Elephas maximus indicus: one gene and its partners. The protein of the gene in region 3 interacts with the protein of the main gene of each other region in a pairwise test. Links are inferred from orthologs where the notes say so. Each region holds a gene or a part of one and is shown on either strand. Other genes may lie near its edges.

The links.
Region 1: the proteins of UBQLN1 (region 3) and PNMA1 interact in binary tests that used the Homo sapiens proteins (3 or more experiments, as listed by UniProt). The two-hybrid records come from large-scale screens. The link is inferred for Elephas maximus indicus from reciprocal best matches to the Homo sapiens genes UBQLN1 and PNMA1.
Region 2: the proteins of UBQLN1 (region 3) and HK2 interact in binary tests that used the Homo sapiens proteins (3 or more experiments, as listed by UniProt). The two-hybrid records come from large-scale screens. The link is inferred for Elephas maximus indicus from reciprocal best matches to the Homo sapiens genes UBQLN1 and HK2.
Region 4: the proteins of UBQLN1 (region 3) and HSD17B12 interact in binary tests that used the Homo sapiens proteins (3 or more experiments, as listed by UniProt). The link is inferred for Elephas maximus indicus from reciprocal best matches to the Homo sapiens genes UBQLN1 and HSD17B12.

Annotation. Positions count from the first base shown.
Region 1 is NC_064828.1:86,445,064-86,452,008, reverse strand, and holds PNMA1 (paraneoplastic antigen Ma1), read left to right. Parts: upstream 1-3,926; 5' UTR 3,927-4,688; coding exon 4,689-5,750; 3' UTR 5,751-6,500; downstream 6,501-6,945.
Region 2 is NC_064835.1:61,008,852-61,016,041, forward strand, and holds the start of HK2 (hexokinase-2), read right to left. Parts: upstream 3,008-7,190; 5' UTR 2,533-3,007; coding exon 2,470-2,532; intron 1-2,469. UniProt on the Homo sapiens protein: Catalyzes the phosphorylation of hexose, such as D-glucose and D-fructose, to hexose 6-phosphate (D-glucose 6-phosphate and D-fructose 6-phosphate, respectively).
Region 3 is NC_064827.1:100,996,340-101,003,983, reverse strand, and holds the start of UBQLN1 (ubiquilin-1), read left to right. Parts: upstream 1-4,623; 5' UTR 4,624-5,162; coding exon 5,163-5,342; intron 5,343-7,644. UniProt on the Homo sapiens protein: Plays an important role in the regulation of different protein degradation mechanisms and pathways including ubiquitin-proteasome system (UPS), autophagy and endoplasmic reticulum-associated protein degradation (ERAD) pathway.
Region 4 is NC_064825.1:99,001,890-99,009,463, forward strand, and holds the start of HSD17B12 (very-long-chain 3-oxoacyl-CoA reductase), read left to right. Parts: upstream 1-4,555; 5' UTR 4,556-4,611; intron 4,612-4,714; exon of another isoform or gene 4,715-4,866; 5' UTR 4,867-4,889; coding exon 4,890-5,049; intron 5,050-7,574. UniProt on the Homo sapiens protein: Catalyzes the second of the four reactions of the long-chain fatty acids elongation cycle. This endoplasmic reticulum-bound enzymatic process, allows the addition of two carbons to the chain of long- and very long-chain fatty acids/VLCFAs per cycle.

The DNA of each region.
Region 1 (6,945 bases), on a different chromosome or scaffold from region 3:
ATGCCCCTTGGAAGGGGCTCTAGCTGCTGCCACCGCTGCCTCTCACACTCTGACCTCTGCTGCCTCTTTCCTTCCTCTTTGCCTCCTTGTCCCCCACTTGGTCTCTAGGAAGTGGCCATGGGGAGCCAAGCACAAGCTCACCCCATCCAGCCATTACTTCCCCTCCCCAGTGGACCTCAAAAGCTGCCAGGCCTTGCCCCAAACCCTGGAAAAAGGGTCTCTGAGAGAGGGCTCGGCCTGGCACCTGTGACTGCCCCCTGCACAGCAACATCCAGGTCTTAGCTGCTCCAGGGACCCTGTCCTCAGAGAGGCCACCTCCTCCTTGCAGGGAGGCCACCAGGATGCCTCATGGGAGAGAGATCGAGGACAGGTACTTATCCCTTTGCTGCTTGCTAGCAGCCCTGCTGGGGGGAGGGGCCCGAGTGCTGTCTGAGCTCTCAGCCTTCTGGAGGGAGGGGAACTGCAGAGGCTGGAAGCTGCAGGGCTGTGTGCAGCCTTAGGTCTGAGGGAGCTTCTGATAAGCCTGGCTCTTCCTGCTTTGCACCTCTTTGCCAAATACCTTGGGCTCTGGAAGCTGCTTAGGGGGCTTAGCTTAGAGGCAGTTCTGGAGAGGCCAGGAGGGAGGATCCCCAGCAGCCCAGCCTGCTCCACCTGGGTGGGCACAGCGCCTCGCCTGCCTCTGTCAGCAGCTGCCTGCCCCCACCTCCAGTGCTGGTACCCACAGCCCAGCCCCCAGCCCTGCACGCTGGAGATTTCTGCATCCTTCCCTGGGAGGGGGAGGTCTCCAAACTAGATTGGAAAGGAGCCTTCATTCCTTGACTCGTGTGATTTGGGAGCTATTTATTTATTCTTAATATTTAATTTTTAACATCCTCTCAGGGACCAGGGGCCTCCTGCTTTCCAGAGGCCCAAGTGCATTTATCCCAAAACAAGGCACCTTCTTGGCACCCCGCTCGCTAAGGCCCTAAGGTCCCCCACCTCTTTGCTCTGAAAGCTCTTGCCAATAGGAATGATAGCAGGACTGAGACAGGGTAGAGTGGAGGGTGTCACCCAAGCAGGAGAGACTAGCAGGAGCAGGGGAGATCAAAGGCAGTTTTCCTCTGCTACCTCTTCCCTGGCTGTACTTTGAAGTTGCCTGAGGAGATTGGCAGGTGGCCAGAATTCTGGTTGAGTTTATCAGGTCTGGATTCTGCTGTAAGAAGCTGAATTTGGCAAGGAGTCACTGAAGTGAGAGGGCTGAAAGGCCCTGGAGGCCCCTTCCCTTGCCAGCCCCATAGGAGGGATGAGTTATTTTTTTGATCTTGTTACTCAACTTTAGTTGTGAAAAAGAAGTTCTAACAAATCAACGTGTTAGGAAGGAGCCGAAAAGTATTCTTTCTGCTGGTCCTCCCAGGAGAGCTTCAAGCCGTCATGTTGGTAACTAGGAGTGGGGAGGGAGTTTTGTTTTTAAACTATGCACTATCAGGTAGTTTTCAGTATTCATTTATGCATTAATGTTGTTCCGCAGGACCCCAACTATAGGAGTAACAAAATTATTCTCCCCCCAGACTCCTGGACAACTACCCTGATTTCCAACTTCCTACTTGTTTTCTCCATGGACTTCTACAAACTCAGTGTCCGGAGATTGCAAAGATCTGGTATACCATCTAGAAGCAGGAGAGTAGCAAATTTAGGCTCTCTTTTAAATCATTTGTGTAATATGAGTGCCTTCAAAGCTTCGCCCCAAAGTGCTCCTTATGTTTCCCAAGGTTTTTTCTACTTAAACTGTATTTTGTTTCAGGCCCCTTTATGGACATGTGGTAACAGAAACCTCCTTCAGGCACGTGAGACCCTTCTGTTCAGTGGTGGCTTCTAGTATTTGGAAATCTTTTTTAATAAGAAAGTGATTCTTTTCTCCTAAGCTTATGGAGACCAGACCAGGTGAATGTAGGTGGGAAAAATTAAGATGGTACCTGTCTGTATTAATCCTCCAGCAGCCTACCCCACCAGACACCGCATTTTAGGAGGGTTCATGCTCCAGGATGGATTTATATCTAGAATGCAATGTGAAAAATTAAACTGTTCAGAGGGCAGATGCAATTGTGGAGTGACCTGCCAATAAGGTAGGTGCAGCCATAGAAGCTGGCATAAGTATATCCTTAATGGTGCTTTCTCCCTGTGAATGCATTAGGTTCCTCTTTTTCTTCTTTTATTCAGAGCTCTTTGCTTTAGGAAGTTAAATGACAAACACCTCCAGCTTTATGTCCTCCTTCTCACACTGTCTCATCACATCCATTTCCCAGGGTCCATCTGCAGTCAGCTAAGGGCGTGAAACTGACCTAGTGCCTGTGTTCCAGACCATTTCTGAGGTCTCTTACCCACCCAGGGAGACAGTGCTGTCCGCACCGTTCTCCATGCCTTCAGCAGCCTCCCTCACAGCTAAGGTACATACCTGCCCCTTCTGCTGCCCCACCTCCTGCTGTGCTAAGTGAGGGCCTCCCCTGGCACAGAGGTTGTGCGCTGCTTATGTCTAAAGGGATCGTCTATATTTAACTGCCTCAGTGACCTAAACTCTTTCTTCTCATGTGCCAGATGTTAAGATGAAGGAGGAATACAACACATCCTTAAGCCTCAGCTGTTTAAATATATTTTCACTGGGACTTACTTTTCTGGGTCGGTATTTATTACCAGACTGGCAAACCTAACTCCTTAGGTTTACAGGAAGTAATACATATTTTTATAAAACAATTCTATGTCCTCCCCACATTTTTCTGTGTTAATATTTGCCTCTAACAATTTGCAGCTGTTTCACCTTTTCCTCATTTGTCTCTAAAGTTGAAGGCCTTGTTGGAGGGGACAGAGCACAGGAACAGCCTTGACAGTCTGTAATTATTGTACAAATATTTTAATAGCATATAAATAAGTATATTCCTTTTATTTTGAGAGAAATGATCAGACACTGCCTTTTGTGTGTTTGCTGCCTGTGGCACCCTTTTTTAAAAAGACTGTTACATATTAAAATAGTGTACATATATATAGAAATATTACCTCTTTTGCTGTACAGTTGTGATAGACGAGACTGAAGATTTTATTTTTTGTGTGCTTTTTATAAAAAAATTAATACACTAAAGAAAATCTTGCTGATGTGATTGTAATGTACCTATGTAACTTATTTACTTTTGAATGTTCCCTCTGTATCTTTAAACCTTTTATTAAATAAGGTTTTAAAAATTCAGAGTTGAATGTTGTGTTCTTTTGGGGGGATTTTCACCATCTGGGATTGACGTCAGTAGGCCTTGTTTTGTTTACAAGGGATTACACTGGACATTTTTGAACCGTAAGGATTCAATTTTTATCAGCCCATTGTCCAGGAGCCAGGAGAGGGGAAATATCATACTAGTGTTTGCCTTCCTACAAAGATGACTGAGTAGAAATAATGTCTTTTACGATATTTTAGACAGGACAAAGTCTAAACTCAACGTCTCAAAAACCATAAATGGCACACTTCCCACATTACAATTTCAATGGGCTGAACCACGGAGGTGCAGAGAGAGTGTGCTCAGGTGGCTCAGCGAGGCCGGGTGCTGAGGTGAGCGTTCTCTACGCAGCATAGACCGGTGGAATGAGCTACCTGAGTAGACAAGTCGGCCACGACGGATGCATTTCCACCAGTATCTTAGATCCACTCCAGAATTAGATTCTTTTAGCAGTATTCTTTCATTATAAAAAAATATATATATGAAAAAAGAAATACACCATCCGAGAGATCAGTGCCAGGAGCCCCTCGCCGGCCCCATGGCAACTGCTCAACGCCGCCCGCCGCCAAAGCGCGCGAATTTCGCGTCGCCTGGGACACCGTTGCCATGGCTACGGAGGGCAGGGGCGGGGCGGGGCGGGCTGGAAGCCGCCTGTCAGGCTTGGCCCCGCCCTCTGCGGCAGTAACGCTCGGCTCGCGGCGGGGAGGACGCGCCGGCTGCTGCGCTCCGCCAGAGACAGCTACAGCACGCGCGCTGCCCTCCGGCCGCTCTTCCTCTCCAGCTTGCCCTGTCCGTATAGCCTCCGCCTTCGGGCCTCGATCCTCGGCCCTCGGTTGTCCTTGCCGCCGAGAGGGGGTCGTCGGGCCCGCGAAGTAGCCGCTCGCGGGCTGACCTCGCGGGCTGATCGGCCGCTGCCGCCTCCACAACTTTGGGACAGCCTCTTCCTCCGGGGGCGTCAGAGTCCTCGTCTGCCAAACAGCCGCTCCTCCCCGGTCTGAAGGCCGCGCTCCGACCGCGGACGCCCAGTCGACTCCCGGAGCAGCAGCTAGCTCCCGGGTGCGGACCGAGGCGACCGCGCCCCAAGACTGCACCCCGGCATCGTCTCCCGCCCGGCGGCTCCTCGTCTGTGCTGCGACTCGCCCCCTGTCTGTAGGCGACGGACCTCGGCCGCGGACCCCGACCGGAGACGCAAGATGGCGGCGGCCGCGTGACTGAGCATCCCGAGGCCTCGCTCCAAGGACGCGCAGACCGACTTAGGGGGAGTACTTTGGGGGGCAGGGAGGAAGGGCGAAAGCAGGACTCTGGTGTCGTTTCTTAATTGTGACTGCGTGAAGCTTGCCTCCCTCGGGCTTTTGGGGGGGGGAGGCTCTGGTATCATTCGTAGCCCTATTGCAGAGTGAGCCACCATCGAACCGGTACTTGTGGAGCCGGCCCCATTTGATAGGTGGGAAGATGGCGATGACCCTGTTGGAAGACTGGTGCAGGGGGATGGATGTGAACTCCCAGAGAGCCCTGCTGGTCTGGGGGATCCCAGTGAACTGTGACGAGGCTGAAATCGAAGATACCCTCCGGGCTGCGATGCCCCAGGTGCCCTATCGAGTGCTTGGGAGAATGTTCTGGAGGGAAGAGAATGCGAAAGCAGCCTTGTTAGAGCTCACTGGCGCTGTCGATTACGCCAACATACCCAGGGAGATGCCGGGCAAGGGAGGGGTCTGGAAAGTGGTCTTTAAGCCCCCGACATCCGATGCTGAATTTTTAGAAAGGTTGCACCTCTTCCTGGCAAGAGAGGGGTGGACAGTGCAAGATGTCGCCCGAGTCCTTGGGTTTCAGAACCCCGCTCCTGCTCCAGGCCCAGAAATGCCGGCAGAGATGCTTAACTATATTTTGGATAATGTTATCCAGCCTCTTGTCGAGTCCATATGGTACAAGAAGCTGACGCTGTTCTCGGGGAGGGACATCCCGGGCCCTGGGGAGGAGGCCTTTGATCACTGGCTGGAGCACACTAATGAGGTCATGGAGGAGTGGCAGGTGTCCGATCTAGAAAAGAGGCGGCGGTTGGTGGAGAGCCTCAGAGGCCCCGCCGCCGATGTCATTCGCATCCTCAAGACCAACAACCCTGCGATAACCTCCGCCGAGTGTCTGAAGGCGCTGGAGCAGGTGTTTGGGAGCGTCGAGAGCTCCCGGGATGCCCAGGTCAGGTTTCTGAACACTTACCAGAACCCGGGAGAAAAGTTATCTGCTTATGTCATCCGTCTGGAGCCTCTGCTGCAGAAGGTGGTGGAGAAGGGGGCCATAGATAAAGATAACGTGAACCAGGCCCGCCTGGAGCAGGTCATTGCGGGGGCCAACCACAGCGGGGCCATCCGGAGGCAGCTGTGGCTGACCGGGGCTGCGGAGGGGCCGGCTCCGAACCTCTTCCAGTTGCTGGTGCAGATCCGCGAGGAGGAGGCCAAGGAGGAGGAGGAGGAGGCCGAGGCCGCCCTCCTGCAGTTAGGCCTGGAAGGGCACTTCTGAGCCTCGGGAAGCGGAGGGGCTTTAGGGCAGACCTAGATCACAGCTGTTCCGTTGTCTGTGTCGTACAGGTGTGTCTCAGATTAGTAAGACTTAGCCATGTTCTGTTTCTTGGGGGGGAAGTCAGGCCTACTTCTTTGTGTAATATTCGTAAAATCGTGCAAGCGAACACCGGGAGCTGCAACAGTACCATAGCGTCCTGCTGGCTGAGATGCCATGTAAAGGCTTGGACACATGAGCTCAGTGTAAGCTGTCATCGTGCCACCATCGTCAGTTGTGAAAAACAAGTGAACCTGTGACACTTGCCATTGAGGTAATTACATGAGAAATTGCATGTTCAGAAGTTTAGTGCAGGGCCTGGTTCATAGGAACATGCTCAGTAAAAGTGTGAAAACCGTTAGTGTTAACTGATACCGTGGATAGTTTTTGTTTACTGTAAATCGTTCCTGATTTAATGGAAAGAAAGGAATTTGCTAGATATTTATTCAACTTCAAAATACAAATTTTCCTGTTTCTCATCTGAATCAGTTTAACTGAAAAGTATTCTGAGACTGCAACATGGAGTATTAGAAAAATACTGTAATTCGATAGTGCTGTGTAAATCAGTTTTTCACTGTACAAGATACAGAAATCGCATGCGGAGGTTGATACGAACCTGTTACAGTTATCCATTTCAGATCCTTATCCAATAGTAGGTCTCCTTGGTCATGCTAATCCTAAGTGTTCTAAATTTGAAGCTATCAAATAGATGTATACTAATAAAAATATTTTAAAAATTCTATTGTCTTCTAGTTTTCTTGTATAAAAATTTCCCGTGTAAGCTCTGTATCCTGTTTTCTTAGGACATTCCACATGTCATTAAAAAAATCAAACCTCATTTCTATCTATCTTTTTAAACTTTGTATCATATTATGGGTTTAAATTGTAATTTAATGCATTCAGTTTTTACGTGTTTTCTTCAAGGCAAATATTAGAAGGTAAAATAGACATGTTAAGTAAAATAGTAACTTACAAAATATTAGGAAATTCTGAAATGAGCCTTAGGGAGGTTATCTGGCAATCCTTTTTATCCCTTTTTAAATCTCTTCAGCTAAACATTTTTGTTTCATTGAAGAAGTAACTATGACTCATTATATACCTATGTAAAATGACTCTTGGAATTATACAGCAGCCATTTTATATCAAGAGCTTAAAAAGG
Region 2 (7,190 bases), on a different chromosome or scaffold from region 3:
TATGTGTGTCAGAGTAGAACTGTGCTCCACAGGGTTTTCAATGGCTGTGACCTTTCAGAGGCAGGTTGTCAGGAGTTTCTCCCAATGTACCTCTGGGTAGACTTGAACTTCCAATCTTTCAGTTAGCAGCTAAGCATGTTAACCATGTGTACCACCCAGTGATGCCTGGTACATAGTAGATGCTGTTTGTTTGTTCAAGTTCCAAAGTATCAATAGGCAAAAGTGAGCAACTAGCCCTTACTCTCATCCTAATGGCACAAAACGCAGGGCTTGTCCAGCAGAAGACCAGTCATCCCAATGGGGTCAAGCCTTCTGTGCCCTGAGACTACAACCCAGAACATGTAAGATAATACCATCACATGGGGATTTCAGAAGAGTCCAAATCAAGGAAGGCCCTTTAAAAGGCTAAAACGCAAGCTTGTTTCATCCTCTTCTCAACTCTCCCTTCCAGCAAGCAAACTTGAAAAGATGCTTCCAAGTTATTCCCCTCTCTCTTTCCCTACTTCCTATCTAACTTCCCCTGGAATTAAACAGCTTTGCTCACTGAAGCCTGGAGTCAAAGCCCCTGATTCTGACACCTGGTCAGTTTCAAGGCCTGACTCGACTCTGCCCCTATTGGTCATTTAGAGGAAATGCAGCCAAGTACCCCCTTGACAGACACTTCACAGTCTGAAAGGTATCTGCAGTGTAGAGAGGAGCCTGCAAGAAACCCATTTCACATTGTTGCGCTTGGCCATCACAACTGTGTAAAATGGACAAAGCTGCTGTTATCATCTGACAAAGAGAAATCTGCGGTCCAAAGGGGCAAAGTGACTTGCTTAGGGTCCAATGGTTAATAAGCTACAGGAAAGGAAACAGAACTCATTTTCAGATACCCTGGTTCCCTTTCCACTATGGGGCCAAAAAGACGATCCTTATTCCAGGCCACGTGGGTCCTAATACGGTAAGCTTGCAAACGCATTAAGATGTCTTGGAGCGACATTTACCCAACTGATAAATCCTCCCTTGGATTAATGAGCCCCCACTTTTAATTTAGGATTTGCCAAGAGATGACAGCCTTCCCCAAGAGTTAACTTACTTGTCAGGCAGAGAAGCCCAGAAAGGTTGCCAACATCCTGCTGGCTCACAGACACGTCTTGAAATAAAGTTTCAAATGAGTTAGAGTAAACTCAGGAATGAGTTAGAGTAAACTACGTTCATCAACAGAGTAAAACTCAGCTAAACCAGCTGCCCTCCTCCCGTCTGAGGCTGAGTCATGTCATGCTTTATTTGGGTGGTTATCTTCCGCGGCTCGGGCATCAAGAAGATAACCCATCATCCTCTCGGGACCTCCACCGTGGGAATACGAGCAGGTCGCCTCACGAATGATAAGGTCTAGACATTTTCCCAAAAACGTGTTCTCATCAGACGCTGATATTTCAAGTACGTGTAACTGAGCAACGCTCAGTCTTTGCCACACAACTCTGCCCCCTCCCGACCCCTCCGCCCCCAACCCATCCCCTCCCTCAAATCCTAGCGCGAGCCGGCCCGGCCCCACCCCCACATCACACGCCGAGGCACCCGGAGGGAGACTCCCGGCCCGGCCCGAGGCTCTTTCTTATGTAAATGGCCAGGCGGAGGTGAAAGCTCGGGGTTGAGATATCCTTGAGTTAGGTGAGCAGATAGGTCCGGCCCTAGGGTAGGAAAAAGCTCGTTTTCGGAACGACAAAAATCTCAAGGAACACAGGAAAGGGGGTTTGGTCCTCTCCGAGTAACTTTCGGGAGCGAATGAGAAAGGAACATCCAAAGACCGCCCCCCACTTGGAGGCGGGTTCCCGGGACGCGAGGCGGGGCGGTCCTGAGGGAGAAGCGTGGGGGGGCGGGGGATGGACACCCCTAGCCGGGCCTCAGTTCCGGGGAAGAGGCGCGGCGCGGGGAGCCCTTCTACCCCCTTCCCGTCTCGTCCCCGGGCCGCCTTCTCCCCAATCCCACCTCCGCAGGGCCGCGAGGAACAACCGGCAGAGCCGCAGGTCCCCTAAACGCGTTACTTCTGCGCCGGTGGCCCCAGGCAGCCCCCACGCGGCAGCGGCGCCTCCTCCCCCAGCCACGACTCTCCCCACGTGCTCTGGCCGGAACTCGGCTGCAGAAGGGGGGATCATCCCACGTGTGCCCAGCAGTCACTGACTACGTGCTGGGTGACCCGCCCTCCTGAAACAAAAAAAGAGAGAGAGGGAGAGAGGGAAGGAGCGCGCAGGGTGGTAGGAAGAGAGGGAGCCGGGCGGCGCAGCGCGGACGTGGCTTCTCGAGCAGAGGAGTTGTCCGGTCGCCCAGGCTGTTTGTGCGGCCCCGGCCCCGAAGTGAGTAGGGAACGAGTAGCTGCTGGGTCTGGGAGGGGTGTCCAGCTGGCCGGGGCCCCGAGATACGACCGGGGACCCGGCGACTCTGTCCGAGGCGAGCCCGCCGCCCCCGCCCCCGCCCGCGCTCTCTTACTTTCTGCACTTGGTCATGGTTGAGTTCCGTGAAGAAGTAGGCGAGCAGATGCGAGGCGATCATCCTACCGCGGCCTGACGGCACCGAGTTGGGAAACGAGCTGGAGCGAGTGCGGGGGAGGCGGGCAGTGGTGGGACCGCTTTGTACCCGGGCTCGGGCGGCCTGTCTGGGAGGTGGGGGTCTGGGCGGCGCACAAAGAAGGCCAACGGCGATGGCGCTCCGGGTGAGAGCTCTCTTAGGTCTCTGAAGACGGGTTTTTAGTCCCAGCTGCTAGCAGGCAGGCGCCCCAGTATCACTCCAGGCGACGTGTCCGGCTGCCCCACGGTCAAGGAGCCAACCTCAGCCACAGGATCACTAAGAATCACAGCCCAGCTCCGCTAGGACAATCAGCCTGGTGGGGCGCTCGGTCCCACGCGCGATGCTCTCGCCCGCGGATCCTCTCCGCTCCACGGCACAGCGGGGCTCGCGGCGGCACGGTGAGTCTTGCGCTGGAGTTTCGTGCAACAATGTGGCTTATTGAGGGGCCGCCCGCTCGCGGGCCGCCCGGTCAGTGACGCGCGCACGCCCATTGGCTAAGCGGGGAGGGTGTGTGCGCCCGCGGGCCACCCGCCGGCACGGCGCAGCCAGTCAGCGCGCACGACCCGCGGGCGCGGCCGCCCAGACACCCGAGCCGGCCGGCTGGAGGGGCGGAGCCCGGCGGCCGGGATGGGACGTGTGGTCCGTGGCAAGAGGCTGGAGCGGAAAGGCGCGTGAGCTGCCGCTGCTTCGGGCTCCGCCAGGGATAGGGGACATGTGAGCGCGGACCCCGGGTGTGGGACGACTGGAAAGACGGGTCACTGGACCAGCACACGCCCTGTGTGGGGGGAGAGATGCAGTCTGGCATCCTGGGGCCATGGAATCGACTGTCCAGTTGGTCTGAAGCATCCTAGTTCTCACCTATTGTGGCTCCGTGAGTCCGCGGCTGCGCCAAGGCAAAGTGAGCCGCCCTATTTGCTTCTTTTTCTTTGCCAGGCATTACAAAAAACTGCTCTTCTAACCTTCACAGCCCAAATCTTACGATATAACATTAATGTCTTAGAATATTAATATCATATTAACCCCGTTTTCCAGATGAGGAAAGAGGCATAGAGCCGTTGAGAGACTTGACCAAGGTCACTCAGATGGTGGGGAAAAGGACTCACGCCCCTCTGATTGTGAGCCCCAGTAGAACTAGCCCATAGGGTTCCCAAGGACCGGCTGGTGGATTCAAACTGCCGACCTTTGGATTAGCAGCCTGAGCTCTTAACCACTTCACCACCAGGGCACCTCCCTCTAAATTCCCCCCCCCCCCCCCGCCCAATTAACCTATCCTGCCTTTCTAAGCACCGGGAAGAGAGAAGAAACTGGGTGACCAAGTGTGTAACTCTGAGTGATCCTGGACATGTGTGGGTTGGGGCAAGGTGTATGGATTGGAGAGGAGAGCCCCAGCCACAGCCAGTGCCTGGCATCAGACTCCAAGTTTATATACCGGGTGGAAGCTAGCAAAAATGAAGTATTGACTTCAGCAGGCGTGGGACTGTTCCCTCAGAGAGAAGGGCAAGCCTGGGGCTGGAGAGGCTGCAGTGAAGGGAAGATGAGGGTCTTCTGTTTTCTACTGAGGAGTTCCTCTTTATCTCATAAACAATGGGTACTGTATGCAACGTATATGGATTTTATTATTATTACACAAGTAATGGATGGTCCTTGTTGGAAAATAAGAATATAGAGATAAACAATAAAACATGAAAACATCCACGATCCAGCCTCTCAGCAAAATTTCTTGAAAACTATGCACCGTTGCCAACTAAACATCCTCACCCCTCTTTCCATGTACTCTAATCAGGCTTGGGCCCCAAACTGCTTTCGTCCCATAATGGCCTACATGTTGCTAAAGCCTATGTTCTCTTCTCCACTTTTGTCTTACTCCACCTCTCAGGGGTGTTGGGCACAGTTGACCATCTCCTCCATCTAAACACACCTGCCTCAGTTGGAGTCCAGGAAGCTCCACTCTCCTGGCTTCCCAGTAACCTCTCTCCCCAAGCTCCTCAGCCCCTGTTTTCTCCACTGGTAAGTACTGGAGTATCCCACACCTATCCTCCACCCTTTTTGATCTAGTTATGATCTCTCCTTAGGTGATCCTCCCAGCCCCATGACTGTTAGGTCATCTACAAGCTGGTGACTCACAAAGGTAAAATCTACAGCGAAAACCTCTCCTGGAACTCCACATATAAATCACTAGCTGCCATTTGTCATCTCCACTCAAGTGACTAGCATCTCACACTTAACATGTCTAAAACTGAGCTCAACTTTTCTTCCCAAAACTACTCCCAGTTCTCAGCAAATGGCATCACTATAAACCCTAATTCATTCTTAATCCCTCCCTGCCCCTCACCCACACATTCAGCCAATCTGCCATCAAGCAGTCAACTCTATGCGTAGAGTACCCATTGCCATCAAGTCGATTCCAACTCATAGCGACCCTATAGGACAGAGTAGAACTGCCCCATAGGGTTACCAAGGAGCAGCTGGTGAATTCAAACTGCCTACCTTTTAGTTAGCAGCCAAAGGCTTAACCACTGTGCCACCAGGGCCCCACACCCATAGAGCAGACCCTGTATAGGACCACTTTTCCCCATGTTTAAGTACACCACCTCAGCCAAGCCACCAACTCAGCCAGAGCCACTGTCACATTGTCCTACCTGGCCTCCCTGCTTCCACTCTTGCCCACCTCCACCCTCGCCCCTGTCATCTCTTCTTCACTCAGAAGCCAAAGTGACCTTTTCAAAAATAGAAATCGAACATGTCTCTCCCTGGCTCAAATCCACCCAGTGGCTTTCAATTGTAACATAAAATTCAGTCTTCTGACAATGACTGCTAAGGCTTTTCACCATATGGCCTCTGCCTCCCTCTCCACCCCATTCCATACTTTCCCCAAGACACTACTCGCGCTCACACTGACGCATTTTCCTCAAATATGCCAAACTCTTTCTCACCCAAGGGCCTTTGCTCTTCCTGGTTCTTCGGTCTGGAATATGTTTTTCCAGATCTGTGTGTCGCTGACTCTTTCTCCTCACTGAGATTCAGCTCAGATGTCACCTCCTCGAAGGGCCTTCCCTGACCAGTTTATCTCAGATAGCTCCCCAAGTCACTATCCTGTGACCCTGATTGATTTCCTTCGTAGCCCTTATCACTATCTGATACTGTTTATGATCTGGCAACTTGTATGTGTCCTTTATCTGCTCACTGGACTCCGAGCTACAAGAGCGGAGTTGGTATTTGTGTTGTTTCTCAGCATCCACTGTGCCTAGAATGGTGCCTGTCACATGGGAGGTACTCAGTAAATATTGCATAAATTAAGAAATATTAGAGATAGCCATTGTTCGTATTTTATATAATTGTGTATCTGTGTGGAGAAAGTTTATAGTTTTATGTATTTTATATATGTTTTATATATATTTATTTTATATATATTATTCTTCAGATATTTTCCCACCTCTCCCTCTACCTAGTTCACACACCCAATATCTCTCACCTGATGATAGCAGCCTCATAATTTGGTCTTCCCTCTTTAGATATAGATACATAGTAGATACATAGAGTTAGATATCCAGCAGAGGTTCTTAAACAGAGAAATGATGTGATCAGATCTGGGTTTTTTAGGGCAATTTCTAACCTCCATGTGGGTGAAGGAGGGGCAGGAGGGTCAGAGACCAGAGGCCGAAAGAAGTAGGGACGGTAGGATAAGACCAGAGCCTGAAACAGGTGAGAACGGGGCAGGGAGTAGGGGCACGGGTTTAAAGATGTTGTGAAGTCTGAGGTAGAATTGATGGCTTTAGCTAGTGGTAGGGGATGAAGAGGAAGATGCTTTCTGTCTACAGATATTTGGAAACCCACTAGGCAGTGCTACAGAACTCCACTGGGCCCAGGTAGAAGGGACCAGAGTCTGTGGGGTGGTGTCAGCTGTGAGCCCTTCTCCACACATGAATTTTAGTGCCTTCTTCTCCCCTCAAAGTCTACCCTTAAATTCCAGGTGCTGTAAGTGCCTCTTTCTCTTATTCTGCTCACAATAATCCCAGGAGGTGCCTGGAATTGCTATAAGCCCCAGTTAAGACATGATAAACCAAGGGTAGTTTACGCACGTAAGGCTGAGGCGAGTATCTTCAACTTTTCTGGCTCCAAACTCCATGCGGCGGAGTTGATTAATCATGAGTCTCAGACCTCTCTCTCTCTCTCTCTCTCTTTGTCTCTCTCACACACACACAAACATTGAAGAGGGATGAGACATACATGTGGTTTACACTCCCCAGCCCCAAGGGAGGAATCAACCAGCGAATATTTATTAAACACTTTACAATGCTCAGGGAACTCTGCTCAGTGCTATGAGAAATACAGAAGAAACATAAGATGTGGCCCTTGCCCGTGGAGAATTAACTGACTAGTCAGAGATATAAAACTAATACATAAAACAAGTATTAAACCCACTGCCATCAAGCTGATTCCAGTGCATAAACCCCATTGCCATCAAGTCGATTCCGACTCATAGTGACCCTATAGGACAGAGTAGAACTGCTGCGTAGAGTTTCCAAGGAGTGCCTGGTGGATTTGAACTACCAACCTTCTGGTTAACGGCCATAGCGCTTCACCAATATGCCACTGGGGTTTCTAAGGTATAATGACCCTGTAAGACAGAGTAGAACTGCCCT
Region 3 (7,644 bases):
GGAGGGGGAGGGGTATTCACTAATTAGATTAAAAACAAAAACAAAAAACCAAACCCAGTGCCATGGAGTCGATTCCGACTCATAGCGACCCTATAGGACAGAGTACAACTGCCCCACAGAGTTTCCAAGGAGCGCCTTGGATTCAAACTGCTGACTCTTTGGTTTGTAGCCATAGCACTTAACCACTATGCCACCAGGGCTTCCCACTAATTAGATAGAAGGCAAGAATTATTTTAGGTGAAGGGAAAGACAACACACAATACAGGCGAGGTCAGCACAACTGGACTAAACCAAAAGCAAAGAAGTCTTCCGAATAAGGCCAACACTTCGAAAGCCAGGGTAGGAGCGGTGGGGGTTTGGAGACCGTGGTTTCAGGGGACATCTGGGTCAGTTGGAATAATAAAATCTATTAAGAAAACATTCTGTATCCCACTTTGGAGAGTGGCATCTGGGGTCTTAAACGCTAGCAAGTGGCTAACTAAGATGCATCAATTGGTCTCAACCTGCCTAGACCAAAGGAGAATGAAGAACATCAAGGATACAAGGTAATTACGAGCCCAAGAGACAGAAAGGGCCATGTAAACCAGAGACTACATCATCCTGAGACCAGAAGAACTAGATGATGCCTGGCTACAACCGATGACTGCCGTGACAGGGAACACAACAGAGAACCCCTGAAGGAGCAGGAGAGCAGTGGGATGCAGACTTCAAAATCCTCATAAAAAGACCAGACTTAATGGTCTGACTGAGACTGGAAGGATCCCAGAGGTCATGGTCCCCAGACCTTCTGTTAGCCCAAGACAGGAACCATTCTCAAAGCCAACTCCTCATACAGGAATTGTACTGGAGTGTAGGATAGAAAATGATACTGGTGAGGAGTGAGCTTCTTGGATGAAGTAAACACATGAGACTATGTGGGCAGCTCCTGTCTGGAGGGGAGATGAGAAGGCAGAGGGGAACAGAACCAAGGACACGGAAATAGAGGCTGGAGCGAAGGTGTGTGCTGTTTTATTAGGGGGAGAGCAACCATGAGTATATAGCAAGGTGTATATATATTTTTGTATGAGAGACTGACTTGATTTGTAAACTTTCACTTAAAGCACAATAAAAATTTTAAAAAATGTGGTGAAAACTGAATAAGGTCTGTAGTCTATTAACATGTCAAATTTCCTGGTTTTGATATTGTGCAACAGCTATTTAAGATGTCACCATTGGGGGAAGCTGGGTGAAGGGTACACAGACTTTGTGCTATTTTTGCAACTTCTGGTAAGTCTAGATTTATTTCAAAATAAGAAGTAAAAAAAATAAATAGTGAGATTGGACCAATGTGAGAACCAGAGATGTGTTCTTCACACAGAGAGGTTTGCCACATCCCCTTTCTTTCCACTGCTGCTGGCCCTCTCTTTGCTTCTGTTTATTATGCTGTACCTGGCACAGCACCAGAGGACTGTGGGAACCTACTTAGCAGCTTCTGTTCAAAGCTCGTGGTGGCTTTAGATGTAAAGTCTTAGTTGACAAATTAATAAACATCCTCTCCCCGCCCCCAGCCTGTCCTCTAATTACTTGGCCAGAAAGTTTTTGAATGTTCTACCCTTCTACATTTGATTTTGAAGTAGCCCTAGAGATATTTGTGCACTGCTCCTAGACTGTGGATCACACTTTGAGACCAGTACCCTGGGAGAGTTTCTATTTCCCATCACTGTGTGCTTCTCATGATGTTGCCCCTCTCAACACACCTAACAACATCTTATGCATTCCTTAAGGCCTGGCTCAAGTAATTTCCTTCAAAAACTTTCTCTGACCACCACCCCTGTGCCATTTCCCTCCCCGTCAAGCAGATAGTATAGGGATGTTTCCTTATAAATTCTACTGTAAAGCAAGTAAGTTCCAAGGTGTGTATATATACAGCTGTATCTATCTATCTACCGCTACACTATAAACCTTGGGAGAGACAAGACATACAAAATATGATCCACTGTTCTAAGCCTCTTTAATGAAAAACATGATTTCAACAATACAGTTCAACTGGGAATGCTCTCATGCCAAGAAATTATGCTGGGCACTGTGGGGTATATATGATGGTTAAGACAGAATTCCAATTTTCAAGGACCTTGTCTAGTTAAGAAGCCCTGGTGACACAGTGGTTAAGTGTTTGGGTGCTAATCAAAAGGTCAGCAGTTCAAATCCACCAGCTGCTGCTTGGAAACCCTGTGGAGCAATTCTACTTTGTCCTATAGGGTCACTGTGAGTCAGAATCGACTTGATGGCAATGAGATTTTTTTGTCTAATGAAGGAGAAAGAGGCACAAAAGTAAGTATAATACAAGAGATAATGTGTTAAGTGACATTAAAAAGGTCATAAAGCTATATAGAGAGTTTAGAGAATATTTCTGTACCACGGACAAATTGTTAGGGAAGGTCATATTTCAGTTGAGAACTGAAGGAGGGGTAAAACAATGGGAACAAAAGAAGGGAAAATAATTTTTTCCTGCAGTGAAATTGGTGTGTTGAGGCTTTTTTTTTTTTTTTTAATTGTGCTCTAGGTGAAACTTTACAGAGTAAATTAGTATCTTATTCAACAATTTACACACAGTTTTGTTACACTGGTTGCAATCCCCGCGATGTGTCAACACTCTCCCCTTCCACACCCCAGTCCCCCATTTCCATTTGTCCAATATTCCTGTCCCTTCCTGCCTTCTTGTCATTGTGTTTGTGCAGGTGTTGCCCCTTGGTCTCATGTACAGAATTGAACTAAGAAGCACATTCCTCACATGTGTAATTGTTTGTTTTATAGACCTGTCTAATCTTTGGCTGAAGGGTGAACTTTGGGAGTAGCTTCAGTTCTGAGTTAAAAGGGCGTCTGGGGACCATAGACTCGGGGGTTCTTCCAGTCTCTGTCAGACCAGTAAGTCTGGTCTTTTTTTTTTCTTTTGTGAATTTGAATTTTGTTCTGCATTTTTCTCCTGCTCTGTCTGGGACCCTCTATTGTGATCCCTGTCAGAGCAGTTGGTGGTGGTAGCCGGGCACCATCTAGTTCTTCTGGGCTCAGAGTGGTGAATGCTGTGGTACTTGTGGTCCATTAGTCCTTTGGACTAATATTTCCCTTGTGTCTTTGGTTTTCTTCATTCTCCTTTGTGCATTGAGGCTTTGAACCAGGAAAGCCCAAGACATGCTTGGAGAGCTTAGTTGACTGGTTTGCCTGAAGAGAGGAGTAAGGAGCAAGGTCCTCTGGTCACAGAGGGCCTTGTACACCATGCCATGAAGATTTAATTTTATTCTAAACTTTGGTGAGAGCTTTTGAAAATTTTCAAGTAGGTGAGTGTCATCAAAGCTTTGTTTTAGAATAACATATGGCATCAGAAGAAAACAGACTTGAGGATGGGGACTTCAAAATGGGGGAGAGGAATCTGTAGGAGGTTGTTCAACCTAGGCCAGAGGTAATGAAGGCCTGAACTAGACTGGTAGCAGGAGGAAGTTGAAGATAATAGAAGCAATGTTACAAGTAATGAATTGCCAGGAGAATTATACATACAGTGAAACCTATGACAGTGGGAACTCAGGACTGTCTTGTTTTTCTAGGTCTCACAAGTTTTCCGCCTTTGACAGGGTGCAGTCACCACTTTTCTATCGCTAGCGGAAAATATTTTTCCTTCTCTGACAGGTTTCTGCCTCACACAGAGTTCTAGCTTTTGCAGGTTTTACTGTACATAATTATGATAGAATGTCAGAGAAGGGAAATGATCCTCTAGGCTTGGGTGTTCAAGGAAAAGTTTTAGAGAGAAGGTAGCTCTAAAAGATGAGGACAAGGTGGGGGTGTAATGATCAGAGGTGAGAGAAGCATAATGTGCAAATGTTTCCAGAAATGGTAATACACAAGTTTGACTGGAATGAAGTACATCTACAGAGCAATGGGAGTGAAATTTGAAAGACACTGGATTGCAGGTCTCTAATTTCTAGTTAAGAAATTGGGGTTTATTTTGCAGCCAGTGGGGAGCTTGCGATGGATTTTCAGTAGGAGAGTGAGATATAATTTATATTAGTTATTTGACACATGTTCTGCCTCGTATTGAAGTTACTATGTAAGTTTTTGGACACAAGATTAGCGTATTAAAGTTTGCCAGAAAGTACTCAATAAATTCTCATTGACCAACTGAATGAGTCATTCTGTCAAAAGCGGGAGCACAGGCCACTCTGTCAGTACCGGTGGCCTGACGATCGCCTGACCAAATCTGGCTCATCCGAGAGTAGAAAGCCCTGGCCATGTGCAATGACTCCGCGAATTGTGCAGGGTGATTACTGGCGTTTATTCCATTTTCCTTTCGTTTATGACGACCTTTGTTTCATTAAGTTATCTTCATTTCAAATCTTACAAGTAGGCAAAAACTAAGCAAATCAGCAACAACAAAATACTTCGCCAGTATTTTATCACGAGACCCTCTTCCCAGCGAGGTAGACCAAGGCGAAAAATTACCGGAAGCGGTGAAGACTGCCTGGGCAGCCCGTGAGGTAAGGGGGTGGGCAAACTACCTGGACAGCCAGCGCGCAGGCGTACTCGCGGCCGCAGCGCCCAGTGGTGGAGCCCCCTTTCTAGTAATTTCGCTATCCGTGACATCATCTTTGTGCGCCGATAAGACGCCTCTCAGAACCGGGATTATTATTTATTTGGTGGAAATGACAAAAAAAATGAACTGACCCATCCCGTCCGTCTTTGATTTTATTCTTCCACTCTGGACATGTTTACATTTTGGGTAACAGAACGCGAGCGGAAAAGGAAAGCCGCTGGAGCTTGAAGAGGCGACCGCCAGGAATGACTCGGCGCTGCCTTCAGCCGCGCTACCCGGCGTGCCTCGCGCGGCGCTGGCAGAGGGACGTGGGGGAGGGGCGGCGAGGACGAAGCGGCGGCTGCTGCGGATGTCGCTGTTAACCAGCGGCGTCTGAACAAACGACGGCTGCCGAGCGCCCGACCTGGCCCTGCGCTAGAGCCCAAACAGAGCTCCGCGGCCTCTCGCCCGCTAGGGCGGTCCTACGCCGGTTGCCACTGAGGTGGCGTGCCCCGCATTCCCCGCTGCCCGGGCCGGCCGACTGTGGCGTTTTCTGGCTCCCGTTCGCTCGCCCGCTCCCTCCCTGCCCGCTCCCTCCCTGCTCTCCTGAGTCACCGCCGCCATGGCCGAGAGTGGTGAAAGCGGCGGCCCTCCAGACTCCCAGGACAGCGCCGCCGCGCCCGACGGTGCCGGCGCCCCCGCGGCAGCTGCCTCCGCGGAGCCCAAGATCATGAAAGTCACCGTGAAGACCCCAAAGGAGAAGGAGGAGTTCGCTGTGCCCGAGAACAGCTCCGTCCAGCAGGTGAGGGCCGCCTGGGGCTCGGGCAGGGGTGGAGGTGGCGGCAGGACCTCCGCCCGCGTCCAGGGACGGTTTTGGAGGGCCTTGGGAGAGGGTTGACCGCGGAAGTGTCCTCGGCCATTTTCCTGGGCCTCATCCCAAATCCGATCACACCCAAGCTCGTGGGTTTGCTTCTTGGGACACCGCAGAGGTTTGTGGCAGGGCTGCGGCCTGTGTGTGGCACACACCAACGCCGCTTGCCTCCGCACCCTCCTCCTCCGGCGTCCACCGACCCTCTGCCGCCTCCGCCAGCTCCCCGCCCCCAGCCGCCTCCAGCTCCTCACAAAGGAGAGGGACCCACCGCCTGACTCCGGGCGGGGTGGAGGCTGGGCGGGTGCGAAGGTTCGCTTTAGCCTAGGCCGCGGTTTTGTTTGAAGAACACAAAAACAAACAAAAAAAGAGGGTTGCTCGTTGTTTTCGCCTGCCTGCCGTGTTATGGTCGGTTTTTGGGGTGAGAAGCACGTGTTTGTTTAGTTCTGCTTTTTGAATGCTGAAATCTTGCCTACTTTTAAAAAAACGAAAAACAAAGATATGCCGTAGAAATTGCTTGCAGGCACATCTTAAATTATGGTACTAGGCTCAAGGAGAAAAGTGAGTGACTCTTCATTCTTTGATGACATGCTGTTTTCTTGTTAGTATATTTATCCCTTCGATGCTCATCTGGGGTAAGTTTTTGTTTGGTTATAGGGGAACGATAGCGACCTACTCAGGTACTGGCAATTGCGTTGAATAAAAGAAAACAAAACGGGAGTTAATGGGGAGTATTACCCAGTAATTGCTTAAAGCCTGGCAGAGAAATTTTGCAATTAATAAGAATCTTGGTGAAATTCGACAAGTTGTTTTAGTTTATTGTTGAACCGTAATTCTTCATCCCTAGCAATCTCAAACAATGTGAATAGTTTATGAAAGGAAACAGTGAACTCCTGAAGTGTACCCATGGTAAATTGCCCCAGAAACAGTAAATGAATCGGGTATTGGTTTATCTAGTTTCAAAAGATGTGTTTTGCGAAGCAGTAGATTGTAGCATCAACCAAGAGATATTCACCACCAATTGAATCACCATATTGTTGTTTTGTTTTTTGTCTCCCAGTGCTCCTGAACATTTTGTTTTCCAGCATATGGGAGAGTTGAAAGAATTATACAGTGAACACCCATATGTCTGTCACCTACCATTTGCATTTTACTGTGTTAGCTCTATCACATTTCTAATCATTCATCAGTCCTTTTTATTTTTTGGGTGGATTTCAAAGTAATTTGCAAATATCTGAACATGTTACCCTTAAAAAGCACTTCAGTGCCAATATCATTAGCTTGAGTTCAACGTTTTTTAATTTTATTTTTTCAGGTAAATTTTCCATGCAGTGAAATATGTAAGAGTTCCATTCCATGAGTTTTGACACATGCATACACCTGTGTAACCCAAACCCCTATCAAGATATGTAGAGCATTCTTACTGAACAGAAAGTTCCTTCTTTCTCTGTTAGTTCAGTCACTCTCCCATCTACCACTGTTTTTGTTTTTTTCACCATAAGTTAGTTTTGCCTGTTCTAGAATTTTATAAAAATGAGATTGTGTAATAGGTAGTCTTTGGGTAAGGTTGTTTTCACGCAGCATGATGTTTTTGAGATTATCCTTGTGTGTTAGAAATTCCTTCTTTTTTGTTGCTTTCCTATTGTATGACTTTGTATGTGATACATAGTTTTCTATTGTGTGATCTTACCATAATTTATCCCGTGCTGAGTGTTACCATGGCTGTTCCTGGTTAGTAAAATCTTTTTCTGTTTGTGGACATATGCTTCCATTTCTTGTGGTTTAAATACTTAGAAGTGGAATGGCTGGACTACAGGGCAGGCATATGTTTAGTTTTATAAGAAATTGCCTTTTTGAAAAGTGTACGGTTGTACAGTCCCACCATTCTGTTCCTCTGTATCCCAGCTGACATGTAACATTGTCAGTCCTTTATCTATTCTAGTGGGTGGGTGTCCGTATTAAGTTTTGAAGCCCGTAGGTCTTCCTTCTAGGATTCTTATTTCATGTCTCCACTAGCCTGGCTGTTTTCAGCATTTCACTGCACAAAATTGGAAAGTAAGAGCAAATATTTCATAAATAGGGGAATTCATATAGGTCAATTTATATTTATGAAGATGTTTAACTTTTTGTAATAGTGAAATTAGAATTCTAAATTATACGGATTTTTTTTTTTTGGCTTTCCTGTAACCAAAGCAAAATTTTAATAAAGATAAAAGACTATCTTAAGTCACTTTTC
Region 4 (7,574 bases), on a different chromosome or scaffold from region 3:
GGTTCATGTGGCCCTTTCTGTCTCTTGGGCTCATAGTTGTCGTGTGACCTTGGTGTTCTTCATTCTCCTTTGCTCCAGGTGGGTTGAGACTAATTGATGCATCTTAGATGGCCGCTTGTTAGCATTTAAGACCCCAGACTCCACACTTCAAAGTGGGATGCAGAATGTTTTCATAATAGAATTTATTTTGCCAATTGACTTAGATGTCCCCTGAAGTCATAGTCCCCAAACCCCCACCCTTGCTCCGCTGACCTTCGAAGCGTTCAGTTTATCCCGGGAACTTCTTTGCTTTTGGTCCAGTCCATTTGAGCTGACCTTCCCTGTATTGAGTATTGTCCTTCCCTTCACCTAAAGTAGTTCTTATCTACTAACTAATCAGTAAATAACCCTCTCCCACCCTCCCTCCCTGCCCCCCTCATAACCACAAAAGTGTGTGTTCTTCTCGGTTTATACTATTTCTCAAGATCTTCTAATAGTGGTCTTATACAATATTTGTCCTTTTGCCTCTGACTGATTTCACTCAGCATAATGCCTTCCAGGTTCCTCCATGTTATGAAATGTTTCACAGATTCGTCACTGTTCTTTATCGATGTGTAGTATTCCATTGTGTGAATATACCACAATTTATTTAACCATTCATCCTTTGATGGACACCTTGGTTGCTTCCATCTTTTTGCTATTGTAAACAGTGCTGCAATAAACATGGGTGTGCGTATATTTGTTCGAGTGAAGGCTCATATTTCTCTAGGGTATATTCTGAGGTGTGGGATTTCTGGGTTGTATTGTAGTTCTATTTCTAACTTTTTTTTTATTAACTTTTATTGAGCTTCAAGTGAACGTTTACAAATCAAGTCAGTCTGTCACATATAAGTTTATATACATCTTACTCCTTACTCCCACTTACTCTCCCCCAATGAGTCAGCCCTTCCAGTCTCTCCTTTCGTGACAATTTTGCCAGCTTCCAACTCTCTCTATCCTCCCATCCCCCCTCCAGACAGGAGATGCCAACACAGTCTCAAGTGTCCACCTGATATAATTAGCTCACTCTTCTTCAGCATCTCTTTCATACCCACTGTCCAGTCCCTTTCAGTTCTAATGAGTTGTCTTCTGGAATGGTTCCTGTCCTGTGCCAACAGAAGGTTTGGGGACCATGACCGCCCGGATTCCTCTAGTCACAGTCAGACCATTAAGTCTGGTCTTTTTGTGAGAATTTGGGGTCTGCATCCCACCGATCTCCTGCTCCCTCTGGGGTTCTCTATTGTGCTTCCTGTCAGGGCAGTCATCGATTGTGGCCGGGCACCAACTAGTTCTTCTGGTCTCAGGATAATGTAGGTCTCTGGTTCATGTGGCCCTTTCTGTCTCTTGGGCTCTTAGTTGTCGTGTGACCTTGGTGTTCTTCATTCTCCTTTGCTCCAGGTGGGTTGAGACCAATTGGTGCATCTTAGACGGCCGCTTGTTAGCATTTAAGACCCCAGACGCCGCATTTCAAAGTGGGATGCAGAATGTTTTCATAACAGAATTATTTTGCCAATTGACTTAGAAGTCCCCTTAAAGCATGGTTCCCAAACCCCCGTGCTTGCTCCGCTGACCTTTGAAGCATTCATTTTATCCCTGAAACTTCTTTGCTTTTGGTCCAGTCCAATTGGGCTGACCTTCCATGTATTGAGTGTTGTCCTTCCCTTCACCTAAAGCAGTTCTTATCTACTAATTAATCAGTAAAAAATCCTCTTCCTCCCTCCCTTCCTCCCCCCCTCATAACCACAAAAGTATGTGTTCTTCTCAGTTTATACTATTTCTCAAGATCTTATAATAGTGGTCTTATACAATATTTGTCCTTTTGCCTCTGACTAATTTCGCTCAGCATAATGACTTCCAGGTTCCTCCATGTTATGAAATGTTTCACAGATTCATCACTGTTCTCTATCGATGCGTAGTATTCCATTGTGTGAATATACCACAATTTATTTAACCATTCATCCGTTGATGGACACCTTGGTTGCTTCCAGCTTTTTGCTATTGTAAACAGTGCTGCAATAAACATGGGTGTGCATATATCTGTTTGTGTGAAGGCTCTTGTTTCTCTAGGGTATATTCCGAGGTGTGGGATTTCTGGGTTGTATGGTAGTTCTATTTCTAACTGTTTAAGAAAACGCCAGATAGATTTCCAAAGTGGTTGTACCATTTGACATTCCCACCAGCAGTGTATAAGAGTTCCAATCTCTCCGCAGCCTCTCCAACATTTATTATTTTGTGTTTTTTGGATTAATGACAGCCTTGTTGGAATCAGATGGAATCTCATCGTAGTTTTAATTTGCATTTCTCTAATGGCTAATGATCGAGAACATTTTCTCATGTGTCTGTTAGCTGCCTGAATATCTTCTTTAGTGAAGTGTGTGTTCATTTCCTTTGCCCACTTCTTGATTGGGTTGTTTGTCTTTTTGTGGTTGAGTTTTGACAGAATCATGTAGATTTTAGAGATCAGGCGCTGGTCTGAGATGTCATAGCTAAAAATTCTTTCCCAGTCTGTAGGTGGTCTTTTTACTCTTTCGGTGAAGTCTTTAGATGAGCATAGGTGTTTGATTTTTAGGAGCTCCCAGTTATCTGGTTTCTCTTCGTCATTTTTGGTAATGTTTTGTATTCTGTTTATGCCTTGTATTAGGGCTCCTAGGGTTGTCCCTATTTTTTCTTCCATGATCTTTATCATTTTAGTCTTTATGTTTAGGTCTTTGATCCACTTGGAGTTAGTTTTTGTGCTTGGTGTGAGGTATGGGTCCTGTTTCATTTTTTTGCAAATGGATATCCAATTATGCCAGCACCATTTGTTAAAAAGACTATCTTTTCCCCAATTAACTGACACTGGGCCTTTGTCTTGAAGAATTTTCTTCCTGCAATTTGATCGCTTGCTGGGGATTGGCCTTTGCTTATGGATGCAGATGTTGGAAAGTTCCAGCTGGAACAGAAAACATTCTTCAAGACCAAAGAACACGTTTGTCTCATCAGAGTACTGGTTTGATGGGGACAGGCAATTTAAAAGTTGGCTATATTTTTTTTTTTTAAAGGCATGAAGTGGCTGGCTTACTGACTTTCGTGGGTGTGCTTACACTCAATATGAGGGGGACAAGGGAGGATCCCCAATGAATAGATTCCTCCTTTCCTGATGGATCTGGGAAAGAGAGGGTGGGGGAAGATGCTGATAGAATTATATGATTCATTTGTGAGTGTTGATGGTTAACATGGTTAATTATGATTGTAAAAACACCAGCTCATGGTGTCAAACATCTCTTCACTTTGTCGAATTCTGGTCAGCTCATTCCTAGTTATCCAAGCTAGGTCATAATGGGTAGCAGTCTTAGGCTCAAGAGTTCACACACACCTCCCAGCACTTCAGACAGCCCCTTCACGCTCTCATCCGTAATCCCCTTGGGCTATCTCAACAGGAGTGAACTCCCTTTACTTCTGACAAGGCAGCCCTTTCTCTGTCTCTTTCTCACCCCTAGCCCTTGTGGGCTAGGCCAGTGGTTGCCAATAAAATACGTCCACACTCAGCCCTCTCTGCACTGCTGCACTGAGAGATAAGTCTGTTACACTAAATATTACATAACTATGACTTCAGCTTCAAGCTCGTTGAACTGTTAGCCCTTTTATTACCCTTAAATCCCTTCCTTAAAAAAACCTCTCAAGTGTTAAGTCAGCAGGCCTCACTGGCTAAGGATAAGCTCTAGATATCTTATGCGAGCTCCAAACCATGCCAGCAAAGGAACAATAAAAACTGTTGAAGAAGGATGAGCGAATAAGTGTGAACCATTTTATTGCACTACACAATTTCTTAACTTTGCTTTGTGGTCTTACTCCTTTGGAACTTCTCTTAGGTAGTTCCCATACACACTGTGGAGCGTCCCGGAAACTCCACTCCCCTCTCCCCATAAAAAAAGCAAGTTAATAATAATAAAGTAAAATAAAAATCTCTATCGTCCTTTCCTGCCCAGTTAAAACACCGACTTGACTCCCTTCTCAGCAAGCTGTTTTTCTGTAGTATATTTTCATTCATCTTGCAATTCTTATTCCATAGTTATTCAACTCCATCATTATTTGACGTAAACTCGAAAACGTTGGGAATTATGTGCTGTTTAATGCTCAGCGCTGGACGGAGGCCTTGCAGTTGGAAGGCACTCAATAAGTGAGTGTACTGAAACGATTGCGTGCTGTGGGGCAGGCTTAGAAACAGGAGACTGCAGCCCTCTGTCCAGAAAAGTTGATGGGAACAACAGCAGCGCATTGACAAAGAAGTGTTTAATCAGGAGGTGAAAATAAAACCCTGCCCGAAAGGCTCCACATCTACTCCTCACTACAATCTTCCCATTCTCTGTGGCTTCTCCGATTCCTTTCCTTCACAATCCCGGCTCAAACCAGGCTGGGTCTGACCGGCCAATCGGAGCGCAGGCTTCTAGAGTCGCGAGGATCGCCGCAGCCAATGAAAGACCTGGGCGATTTGGTGGTGAGACGCACCGCTCACTGGCCGAATACTGGGGGACGTAGAGACGCGGTTGGGCGGGCTGAAGCTTGATTGGCAGGCAAGCGATCTGCTGCCGGAGAACGGTAGCACCGCACATTGTGCGCGCGGGGAGAGGGGTCGTGGTTGGGGCAGGGAAACTCTAGGGGGTGGGCTCTGGTCTGTTTAGGAGTCAGCCAACGGCTGATACGTTACCGCAGAAGGAAGGCTGGATCACCAATGGCGGCACGTATACGGCGCTGTGGGCGGGGCTTGGGGCAAAAGCCCAGTAGGAGCAGCGCCTGTTACTGTCGTCTTCGCCGCCACCGCCGGCGCCACGCCTGGATTCATTCATTCCTTTTTTTTCATTCACGCAGGTAGTGAGGCCTAGTCGAAAGCCATGGAGAGCGTTGTCCCGGCCGCCGGCTTCTTCTACTGGGTGGGCGCGGGCACCGTGGCCTACCTGGCCCTGCGCATCTCGTACTTTCTCTTCATGGCCTTTCGGGTCTGGGGGTTAGGTAATGAGACCGCAGTCGGACCGGGGCTCGGTGAATGGGCAGGTGAGTCGGGTCCAGCGCCGCCGCCTCCTCCCTCCTGCAGCCGCTCGCCGGGCTCCCGGCCAGGCCTGGTCCATGCTGGCGAGTTCGGGGACCTACGCGTGGCCTGCTCTCCTCGGCTCCTTTCTCGTTCCTGAAGCTCCTGCGACCTCCCTCTGTCTCCCTTAGCCATCGTCTGGCTCGCTTAGATTTGTAGAGATTGTGTTTTTAAATACTAAGAAAAAACTAAAGTGGGGCAAAATATTGCTGGCTCAACTCCGGGAATCTGAATTGCCACTTTGTGCGTGCGGCGGAAATCGGGTCTTAACTCCCTGGGACTTGAGCGCTTTAAGCCATGCGGGTTCATGGCCGGGAGTCACAGTTCTTTTGCTTTCGCTTCAGTCACAATATACTCAACTTGGTTCACTCCTTCTGAGCGTTTTTAAAATAAAGTGTTCTCTTGTCTTGAGTACTGGCCCGGTGCTAAGGCTGAAAAAACATTTCTTTTGGGGGGATGAGGACAGGGGAAGAGGTGTAGGGACACGAAATTTCAGAAAGTTTTTGCTCTTGGGAAACTTACTTCTCCAGTCACTTGATTCGGCCTGCTTCATGTAATTTACAAAGTTTCTTTTAAAAAATCCTCGAAAAACTGTTCTGGAGTCATGATAGTAGCAAGAACTGTTGCTTCTTCAGAAAAAAAAAAAAAAGGTAACTCTGTATGTTAAAATCGGAAATAGTTTTTGCAGAAGGTACGTTTGTAGAAAAAAGTGTTCCCATAAAGAGTAACTCAAGCAAATGGATCTTGTTGTGTCCAGTCGGAGAGTTTAAAAAATGGGAGACAAGGGTCACATTGGAGCCCTTAGAAAACTTAACTGCAGGGAAGTTTTGCACTGGCTTTTTTTCTAACTTGTTTTCTTTCTTTTTTTTTAAACCAAGTGATTGCTTATGATTTGCTGTGGTCGTTCTTTGGTTATTTATTTTGATGTTTTATAATTAAGTGGTCACTTCACGTAGCATTTTATTGAGTTTTGGGGTGGTTGGGGATTGCGTTCAGAGTAGGTGTAAGTAAAATACATAATTAATGTTACTCTTTATTTGTTCATTCAAAAACATTTAAACAGCTCAGGAAAAACGTAAGTTACATTTTGGTACAGCAACATAAATATTAAGAGAAAACATATCAAACAGGAATGGATTTGTACCTGAGAGCTCTCCCCATGATATGAGGCAATTATCAACGTAACACTATCCACGATCATTTGTTATCTTTTGATAGTCTTTGAAAAGTAAAGTGCTCAACTTGATTATAATCTGATTTCACAAGTGAGTTACTAAAATTTTTTGGTTGCTAGCTTTGAGAAACTTGTTTGTGGACTTTTGCAATAGTTACACAAGATGGTATTAGGAAATCGTATAACTGGAAAATCAAACCCAGTGCCATTGACTAGATTGCGACTTATAGCAACCCTATAAAACCCCTTGCCACGGAGTGGATTCCGATTCATAGCGACCCTATAGGACAGAGTAGAACTGCCCCATAGAGTTTCCAAGGAGCGACTGGTGGATTCCAACTGCCAACCTTTTGGTTGGACCTTTTGGTTGGCAGCCATAGCTCTACACAGCCAGGGAATTTCGCAGATTTGCAAACAAAGATGCTAATGTTAATAACTTTTTAATACCTAAAGTTGACCATCCCCCAAATCAAACCCATTCCCATTGAGTGGATTCAGATTCATAGTGACCCTATAGGACAGAGTAGAACTGCCCCATAGGATTTCCAATGAGTGGCTGGTGGATTTGAACTGCCGACCTTTGGTTAGCAGCCGAGTTTTTAACCACTGCGTCACAGCAAGTCCTAGTCATCAGTATATGAATTCATCATAAAAGCCAAGTGATAATGATGTTGTCTTTTCATAAATAAGATTTGTGTTGGAAAGATTTGGCCCCAGAGAAAGGATATTTGATAAATTAAGGCAATTGTATAAGATTTAGAAAGGAAATTTGAACTAGAACACTGGCATAACAGAGAAAATGAACATGTCCTAATTGAACTTATTCATTGTCCAGCTTTCACATGCATATGATGTGATTGAAAATACCATGGCTTGGGTCAGGTGCACCTTAGTCTTCAGGGTGACATCTTTGCTCTTCAACACTTTGATGAGGTCCTTTGCAGCAGAAGCTGGACAATGAATAAGGAAGACTGAAGAAGAGTTGACGCCTTTGAATTCTGGTGTTGGCGAAGAATATTGAATATACCATGAACTGCCAAAATAACGAACAAATCTGTGTTGGAAGAAGTGTGGCCAGAATGCTCCTTAGAGGCAAGGATGGTGAGACTGCGTCTTACATACTTTGGATGTGCTGTCAGGAGGGATCAGTCTCTGGAGAAGGACATCATGCTTGGCAGAGTGTACAGGGTCAGTGGAAAAGAGGAAGACCCTCAACGAGGTGGATTGACACAGTGGCTGCAACAATGAGCTCAAGCATAACGATTGTAAGGATAGCGCAGGACAGGGCAGTGTTTTGTTCTGTTGTGCATAGGGTCG